Saccharomyces cerevisiae S288C: one gene and its partner. The protein of the gene in region 1 purifies or fractionates together with the protein of each later gene. This does not show direct contact. Each region holds a gene or a part of one and is shown on either strand. Other genes may lie near its edges.

Region 1 (4,627 bases):
TGACGCAAATGATGAGAAATAGTCATCTAAATTAGTGGAAGCTGAAACGCAAGGATTGATAATGTAATAGGATCAATGAATATTAACATATAAAATGATGATAATAATATTTATAGAATTGTGTAGAATTGCAGATTCCCTTTTATGGATTCCTAAATCCTCGAGGAGAACTTCTAGTACATTCTACATACCTAATATTATTGCCTTATTAAAAATGGAATCCCAACAATTATCTCAAAATTCACCAACTCTTCACATACATACCTGCGGTAGCAAGATAGGTACACTTTTTCTACGTTTCACGAAGGTAGCGATAGGTACCTCACTCATTGTAGGTGCGGGGGTAGCGATGGAGGTTTCTGTACCATTACCACCACAGCCACTATACTCACGTAGTGAAGTCCCTAGCGTGGAATTGTGTGGTATCGTTGCTATCTGTCGTTCGCCACCCTCGGTATATCCAACGTGCAGGCCAATATCACTCTCTAAGAAAATCGTATCAGGATTGGTACGGACAAACTCTTCATAGCCTACGTCGAAATCAAATTCTGCTAAAGCTGTGACTGTAGTTAAACCTAAAACCGCGATTATTGCTTGAAAAACTGTGGAGAAATTCATGATGGACGGTCACGTTCAGGGTCTGAGAAAACCACTCATTCCTATGTCCCATGTGGTTGGTTGCAATTTGCTGCTATATATACGACTTGGCTGTAGAGAGATCTACGTAGGATGTGTCCACTATCAAGGGGGGTTTACCAACGTTATCTTCTATTTTAAGTGCTCAAATGAAGGTTGCATTATATCCCTGGCAGTTTTCCCGGCAATTTTGCCGGCCGCTTATAATAGTCATGGTGAAAGGATTGTTGCTTGTTGTGGTTGCAACATGACAGTTGCCTACTAACTAAATAATAATCAAAGTCAGTTTCTCAACAATGGAAAACCTGTTGTGACCTTATCGAAGTAACAACATCGTATAATAATTAATCTGGAAAAAATACCATAGTTACTGCCGATACAGGTCTACGTGACTTACTGACAAACAGACTGAGTGACTACGAGTCCAGAAATTTAGTATACCATATTGTCGCTTCTTCTTATAGCCCAGCTCCAGGTCTGGATACGGTTCTGTATAACTCGTTAAGGTTTAAGTGTCCGGCAATTTTTTTGAAGTTTCATTTCTTCACTCGATGACCAAGCCGTGTGCCATCTTTTCGTTTTCTTTTTTTTCAATGTGTTTAATTATCTACAAAGAGGGCACACACAATAGAGCTGATGAGAACCCATGAGCGAAACAAGTAGAAAAGCAAGACGTAAACGGAATCATGGTGGTGTGTACATTTCTCTTTTTTTATTACACCAAGAAAGCTTAATTGGTACGTATTGTTCGTGATAGTAGCATGAATCTAGCGTGGAATTCTTTTATTTAAGGTCGCGTTGTGACGACAAAACATTAAAAAAACCACATGTGTTGATTTGTAGACTTGTATACACTCCAGTAAGAAGGTGCACACCAAAATACATGCGCATATAAATTATTTTATATAGCATGCTATATTTCGTAAATTCATAAAATTTCGTTAATTCATAAAAACAGCTCCCCAAACTTAGATGAGTGGCTGCAAGGGTTCTGTCTTGTAATCAACATCTACCATTGCGCCATCGTGTTTACATACAACTTCGACAGACACCTTGAATTTCTTGGCGTTCAACTCCGTTTCTTCGCCATAATTCCAAACAATCCGGTCAAAGGATTCCTGCTTTTTCTTATCGTGGAATTTCAATTCTGGCTTGTTGATAGCGGTTTTGATGTCCTTTAGCAGGTGCTTCTCAACATGCTGGTGTAAATGGCGAACAAACTTCTTAGAGTGCGAATTGGCAGTCTCTTTGATCTTTTCCGGATCATCATGCGCATCATGCAGGACAAAGGGTGGATAGTACTTCAGTTGGCAATGGACATGGTCGAACTCTTGATCTTCCGTCTCACCCTTTAAATATGTTTCAAAATCATGCAAATCCTCAAAAACCTTTAAGGACTCACCACTTTTTGTAGTGATGGTGGACATCTTAGGACCCTTTGCTTTCTTATCCTTTTTCGTCATTCTTATTATTTAAAATACTTTGTTATATACTGTACGTTGTTTCGTTTGCACTTAATCGTGTTTCGACAGATAGGTGAATCAAGATCTACCTTTACGCGAAAGATACGAAGAATTGAGAAGGAGGTGCAAGGGAAAAGGGCAATAGAGGATTGGGACAGCCGATGCTTATATACGGACGATTGCCAACCGCCGAAAAGGTTCAAGCCAAGAACAAAAAGTAGAGAGAATACCCCAACAATAGCATTTGATGGCTAAACGGCAGTGCCCGTTAATACTATTCAAATTATACCCCGCATTAATAATTCCTGTCCCTTTAGTCTCGTCCTTCAGCCGTATAGCCGCAAAACTTCGTTCAATGATTTCATGCCATCATTACACCGCGAGTCGTGGGTGCATTGTAGTTTATTACGAAAAGTATCTACAATACTTGCTTAAATAACCTACATTGTTTTAGGCACTATGGCCGAGTGGTTAAGGCGACAGACTTGAAATCTGTTGGGCTCTGCCCGCGCTGGTTCAAATCCTGCTGGTGTCGTTATTTTTTTATTTTTATTTTTTTTTTATCGCTTACTGATTATCAGATATCTTCGACAGCCTCACACAGATTGGTGATCACGCACCCATAATCATTTCTTCGGGCATGCTCCTATTAGCCACGGTTCGCAGAATAATCTGCGCGATGTTATTCACCAAGACCGTGGAGTCTCCTTTTCGGTGGGATCCGCTTATATCCGTATGCGTCGGTTGCTTTCTCGGGGAAAGGAAAAGGAGAAAGCCCGGATAACACGACACAAGAGTCATTCGTTATGCACGGACACAGGGAATCGTGCGGAGCCGGGGATAAGAGGCCGTGCTAATTTCCGCGGAACATCGGAATGCAGTGGACAAGTGCCCTGAGAACAAGCGGCGGGCGGGTAGCTGCCACGGAATAGGCGCCACGTTTCCGTGGGTGACTATGACTTTTGATCGATTCCATGTTGTTTTGCCCTGAATTCTGCGCCCCTCGGAGAAGTTTCTTTTCTTTTTTATCTCTTTTTCATCTCTGACCTTCGTTTCCTTTCATATAGACTACGCAGCAGAATCATGGCAGGAGCTATTAGCTGAGTGGGCAGATTACGTTTGCGCACTGTGCATTGTGACAGATTATATTTGCTTCGCTTCTCCCTCTTACTTCTTCAGCATAAGTGTAAGCCATATGTTCCCTGAAATCTTTCTACCGTCGTCTTCTCTTTTTTTTTTTTTTACTATAAATCAATGTGCTCTCTTCCATGATTCTTGCCTTTTGGATCTTCGGTACTTGTGTGGGTGAGAATGGTGTTATTGAGTCAATTCAGGTCAGCTTGGTTCAGTTCTAATCTAGCCCTTTCCCTACTATACAAATACTACTAGCCTTTTTTTTTCTCTCTCTTTCTCTATACCACTACCTCTTCCTCTTCCTTTTTTTTCTCTTCTTTTTCTATTGTCCCCATCGCATCTTAGCATAAACGCATCCGCATTCCCTTCCTACATTTTTCTTTTCTACTAGTTATAGCTTTAAAACCTTCTTTATTCTCTTTCTACCTATTCTTCTTCGTTGCTTATATCCTATACACATATGAACGGTCCTCCAACATTCACTCAATATAGAATAAATAAGTTTTCTGGGAATGGAGCAACTCATAAGATTAGAGAATTACTCAATTTTAATGATGAAAAGAAATGGAAACAGTTTTCGAGCAGAAGGCTGGAGCTGATAGACAAATTCCAACTAAGTCAATATAAGGCAAGCGAACAAGATCAAAACATAAAGCAGATTGCTACAATATTAAGAACGGAGTTTGGATACCCTGTAAGCTGCTCTAAGGAATTCGAAAAGTTAGTCACTGCTGCTGTGCAATCAGTGAGAAGGAATAGAAAACGATCAAAAAAACGCTACGCTCTCAGCATAGCCAATGGCAGTGGCGGCAATGTCAACAACAGCATCTCGTCAAATTCTACTTCTGACGACGAGATCTCTCCGTCGATCTACCAGCGCTCCAATTCGGACTTCCTGCCTAGTTCTAATTATGCTGCAGATTTCCAGTTTTCAAACAAGTTCCAGCCTCTCATGAGTCACCAGAGTCATAACGGAACCATTTTTCCAACCGTGGGCACCCAAAATGACTCATCTCCATCGGTTACTTCGACCCAACAAAAGTATAACGATATAGTCACCATGCTAGTGCACGATCTTGTTACGAATGTCGTACCCCTATCAGAACAAGCTCTCAAGGACCCATATACTGGGCCAAACCTGTCACATTTTGCTACGTCTTCACTCAGCCAGCAACCTAACATTACCACAAACATCCCGATAGATTCTACCGTGCCATTTTTCCTGAGGGAAAAGTTACTCCTACAAATCCAAAGATCAAGAACTTGTCAGGACATTTCGCAGGCTGCAGGATCCATTGATATATACGCAAATCTGGAGATTTTGGGTGAAATGTCAATCCGAATGTCTATTGCATTCGTTATCGAACGATTTTTCTCCAACTTGGTCTCTTCTT
Region 2 (5,378 bases), on another chromosome or scaffold:
TCATTCAGTAGAATTATTTCAGAACTGGGGACCAGAGATCCAAGGTATTGGATGGTCGATGATGACCCCTTATGGAAGAAAGAAATGTTTGAGAAATATCTTTCCAATAGATCAGCCGATCAACTTCTTAAGGAACACAATGAAACAAGCAAATTCAAAGAAGCCTTTCAGAAAATGTTGCAAAACAATTCTCATATAAAATATTACACCCGTTGGCCTACCGCAAAGAGACTAATTGCCGACGAACCAATATACAAACACTCCGTGGTCAATGAAAAGACAAAGAGACAGACCTTTCAAGATTATATAGATACCCTCATCGACACTCAGAAAGAATCAAAAAAAAAATTGAAAACACAGGCCCTAAAAGAACTAAGAGAGTATTTAAACGGTATTATAACAACATCATCCTCTGAAACTTTCATAACCTGGCAGCAGCTTTTAAATCACTATGTTTTTGATAAGAGTAAGAGATATATGGCGAACCGGCACTTCAAAGTCTTAACCCACGAAGATGTTTTAAACGAGTATCTGAAAATAGTAAATACGATTGAAAACGATCTTCAAAACAAACTAAATGAGCTCCGACTGCGCAATTATACCAGAGACCGTATTGCTAGAGATAACTTTAAAAGCTTATTAAGAGAAGTGCCAATCAAAATCAAAGCAAATACTAGATGGTCAGATATTTATCCTCATATAAAGTCTGATCCGCGCTTTTTACATATGCTTGGAAGGAATGGCTCGTCCTGCCTTGATTTATTTTTAGATTTTGTTGATGAACAAAGGATGTACATCTTTGCACAAAGATCAATAGCCCAACAGACGTTGATAGATCAAAATTTTGAATGGAATGATGCCGATAGCGACGAGATCACCAAGCAAAACATAGAAAAAGTTCTGGAAAATGACCGGAAATTTGACAAGGTGGATAAAGAAGACATCAGTTTGATTGTTGATGGTTTGATAAAGCAAAGAAACGAAAAGATACAACAGAAACTCCAAAATGAGCGTAGGATATTGGAGCAAAAGAAGCACTATTTTTGGTTACTTTTGCAAAGGACATATACAAAAACCGGTAAGCCCAAGCCTAGTACGTGGGATTTAGCTTCCAAAGAGCTTGGCGAATCTCTTGAATACAAGGCACTAGGCGATGAAGATAACATAAGAAGACAAATTTTCGAGGATTTTAAGCCTGAAAGCTCTGCACCGACTGCCGAAAGCGCTACTGCAAACTTAACGTTGACCGCGTCAAAAAAGAGGCATTTAACTCCGGCTGTGGAATTGGACTATTGATTCTGACGTGTCGACCTCTATCTTGTTAATCATTATATAAATTATACATAGAGATTACATGTTATTTCAAGTTTGCGATCACCGCACAATTTCTTAGTCATTGTTGTAAGTGTTCTGCAAAAATTTCAGCTTTTGTACCTTATTTTCACAAAATTCAAACACCTGTCCGAACTGTGTTTTAACCAGTGTTTTTGAATTCAAGAGTTCAGTAATACTTTCATAATTTTTTAACCACTCCATCCAAGACAAACAATGGAGGAATGAATCTGCCAAATCGTCATCTTTTCTCACCCCCGAATTATCTTGGATCTCTAGTATATCACATAGCTTGAAACTTTTTTTTTTGGTAAGGGCATTTCTTATCCTATTATTCCAAACTCCTATGAACTCGACCAGTTTTGTAGAACTAGTTGAATTACCTTCTAGTATTGAGGTTGAAAGTATTTTTTTCACTAGCTTTATTCGAGAATCTTTGCTATGTTTGTTAGATTTTAACTTTTTTGAACTGGTCGGTGTCTCTTCTCTTGGAATGCACCAATATGAAGTCATCCGATGTGGATCGGACGAACATACCATATACCTCAACTTGGACGTATTCGGTATTTTATTCGTATACTTCATTTTATTTTCCAAGTTAGAGAAAAGAATCTGTTCGAGAATATTCACTTTTAAAATTGGGTCTAAAATATGCCTCGAAGACATAGTTCTGGTACGTTGCCTTTCAATTGTAAACATATCTGGTATCGGCATAGATTCAAATAAATACTCCGTAAGGTTAAATACAAGCTCAGAAGTTTCAGCAGGATTCAAGCTTAACTTTTTGAGGTTTTGAAAAAATTTCTCCTCTAGATTTATCTTTTGCCAGTCTAGTACTTTAGGGAGCGGATCATTATTGAGCAATTGCATCTTAGAGAAAGCAAAGTTAGAAACACCAGCATCCATAGACAATATGTTAATTCTTCCCTCTCTTATCTTTTGTTGTCGTAACTTCTCCAAAAATTCACACTGTTCTTGAATGTAGGTTCTTTTAGCTTCTTTCGTCGTGCCATTTACTGCTCCAATAACAAATGATAAAGATTTCAGTTGTGTGCTTTTTGCATTTTGGCAGCAGGAATCGATGAGTTGCAATATCTTAGCTTTCTGTGCTGTCGACATATTACTATCTTTTTTAGCTTTAGACTGTATAACCGTAAGCCTTCGTTGTATGCAATGGATAAACAAATATGGAATCGCCAGTTGAAACAAAAAAATGAGAAAAGTACGGATAATCCGAAGAAATTTAGTCTGATTCCATCCATTTTTTGTATCTTAAGAAATAATTTTGAAGTCATATAAAACTTAAATAGAAAAAGTAACTAAAATTTAGGAAAGTAGAAAAGCTCCTGCACCCTCTTCAATGGCTTGACAAAGACGAGACCGCATAATATCTTTGCTAGTATACTTCGGCAATTTCAAATAATTAGCACATGTCATTACACTTGGTAGATATTCGTCTGCTGTTAGGCCATCTTCAGCATGCTTTAACACAACTGTAAACTTTGGGTTCAAACTTTTAAATCCCCCAATTGGAAGCTTGGGAGATCCCGTTAAAAATTGCAAAAATAATCTTCTTTCATGCTTACCAAACGCGGATATTATTGATATAAAATCATGAATGATTGAAGAATCCATTGTATAGCCATGTTCAGCGTTCAAGTTTGTGTATAAAGTTGCCATAGACCAGTCTTCCTCAACTCGTCCGAAAATATCCACTAATTCATCCGGAAAAAGTATTAGCATCCTCTCATAGGAAAACACCTTTGAAAAACCTTCAATAAATGCTTTTAACTGTTTTTCAATGCCCTTACCTAATATTTGGTCGATAACGCCATGGATATATTCTTCAACATTAGAAGAGTTCAAGGATTTATTACAACCCCCCGGAATCAACTCAATGTCATCATTTCCAGGAACGGTAAATGTCAAGGACAACGATTCTAGGGTCATATTGTCATCCTTATTCGCTACTATGTATTTAAGGGATTTTGCGAGTAACGGATCTACCAATTCGATCATTAACAGACAGGTTTCAACGTCGCTCGGCACTGTCGTCACATTGGGCGTAGACATTCTGTGCAATAACTCAAAAAAGACTTTGCTAAATCTAAAGTCAAGAATTCTATTATCAAGCAACGATCTGGCAACAAATGTCCCCAAATATCCAAAAAGTTCAATAACTTTTTCATTATTGGAAAACGGGTTGAGGGGCTCTGGGAACAATAAAGTGGTAATATAATCGTCAGTAGTATCAACATCCATTTCGCTTCTGTAACTATAAGAGTTACAACGCCACATATTTAACGACTTTCTTGCAAAATACTTGGAAACTACGGAGTAAAATTCCAAAGTCGGTCCTAAACCTGTTCCTGCTTCTTCTTGATATTCAATTTCCAGTACGTCAGGGCTACTTCCGTACTTGGATAAAATCTTGAGACCGGTAGCGAATATTGTTTTTCTTGAAATCCGCAGCTTACGCCTAGTAATTCTCCCAAGTTGTTGTAAAGCTTCGTCATTCCTTAAATCTTTCGAGCCTTTACTCTTATTCTTCCAAAGTTGAATCAATCTTCCGTAACCAAATGAAGTACATTGTAGGAAAAGCATCCTGGTATCAAACGGAAACAAAAATGGGAATCTCCTGGTCAAAAATAGTGACCAATCCGGCAAAGCTCCACTTGCTACTACCAATGGTTCATCTAGTTGTCTAGCGAGCTTAGCGCTTAGTTTTGAGTTGATAAAACTGTCGCTTTTAACACCGCAGCTATGTAGAAAATCCAGCAATGTCAGAATATCCGCTGAAGATCCAGTATCAACCTGTGCGAATTCTCTTTTTTTATAAAAATCTCTTAACTTTTTCCCCTCATTAGCTTCCTCGGCTGCCTCACTCTCTCTATTGTTACCTTCTAAACTTTTGCAAAATTTGATTGTATGTGTATCATCCCATAAAGTTTTTAAGTCACGATTTCGCCTGACGAATGTATTAAATATCACACCAAATACTGTAGACTCCATGTCAACTTTTTCATTATCATAAAAAAAGTCAAAGTTCTTTTTTCTCATATGATCCAAGCAATTTTCTTCTTCTTCCCTATCAGCTTCGGTACTGGAAGATGTAAGGTTTGGGATTAATGAATTCAAAAAACGCATTCTTACCATTCTGTGTCTCAAAAACTCATTAAGTGAGGTAAAAGAAGCTATGCAATGGACCGAAACGATAGTAGATGATAAATCAGTACCAATATTATCTTTGCTTGCATCGCCATCATAAACCAACTTAATTTTTATCTCTTTAGCCAGTGAAGATACACCACCACCATCGTGTAAACCGCAATCAACTATAGAGAAATTCTCCAGCCTTGTGAGAGCAGATTGTAGGATTTCTAAAAATCTGTCAATACAATCCTCAAATACCTCTAAAAATGATTTAGCAAGAATGAAATGGGATACCGTTGAGGATGTAATTCTTTTAGTTATGGAGGAAGCTAGCCCTGTAGAAGTAAATTCGAAACCTGACACGTCGAAATCTTCATGGAAAATACATTTTTTTAAAACAGACCAAATTCCCTTCCAATCCTCTTCAGTTTTGTCCGGAGTGGAAGGATTTTCTAAAATAGAAACAACGCCTTCGATTTGATGGAGCTCCTCTGTTATTGCTTCTTGCTCAACGTTCATCTGAGAAAGTACTCTATTAACTAGGTTCACACCCTTGTTTTTAATATAAGCTAGAGATAGAGTTCTGAAAATGTGTATTGAAATTTTCTTTGGTTTTACTGAATCAGGAATTTCCATATCAGTAAATTCGTAATCATATTCTTCATCACCCTCATCACATTCCTCAATACTGCTATGCAAATCCCCTTCTTCGTCAGAAAGTGAAATATTTTCATTCCCGTCTTCCTTTAAATCAATGTTATTGAAATCCACAGACAAATCCTTAACCAAATCAAAAATGCCCTCTCTTTTGATGGAAGGAAAGAACAGTTCGGAAAACTTTTTACAAATTAAGTCAAGCAACGAGAGACCACCAACCAACAGTGTACCAGCTT

What was found. The genes of interacting proteins can lie anywhere in the genome.
Region 2: the proteins of RGI2 (region 1) and CCE1 purify together in Saccharomyces cerevisiae (affinity purification with mass spectrometry, with the first as the bait; one large-scale study listed by BioGRID). This does not show direct contact.

The regions. Positions count from the first base shown.
Region 1 is NC_001141.2:246,298-250,924, forward strand, and holds RGI2 (Rgi2p), read right to left. Parts: upstream 2,100-4,627; coding exon 1,605-2,099; downstream 1-1,604. Other genes in the region: YIL060W (uncharacterized protein), read left to right, coding at 95-529; YIL059C (uncharacterized protein), read right to left, coding at 253-618; VHR1 (Vhr1p), read left to right, coding at 3,694-4,627. UniProt on the Saccharomyces cerevisiae protein: Involved in the control of energetic metabolism and significantly contribute to cell fitness, especially under respiratory growth conditions.
Region 2 is NC_001143.9:418,766-424,143, forward strand, and holds CCE1 (cruciform cutting endonuclease), read right to left. Parts: upstream 2,452-5,378; coding exon 1,390-2,451; downstream 1-1,389. Other genes in the region: snoRNA-splicing protein PRP40, read left to right, coding at 1-1,296; putative ubiquitin-protein ligase UFD4, read right to left, coding at 2,659-5,378. UniProt on the Saccharomyces cerevisiae protein: Capable of resolving Holliday junctions. Specific for 4-way junctions. Seems to be important for the maintenance of mitochondrial DNA. Cleaves fixed junctions at the point of strand exchange. Cleaves after 5'-CT-3' sequence.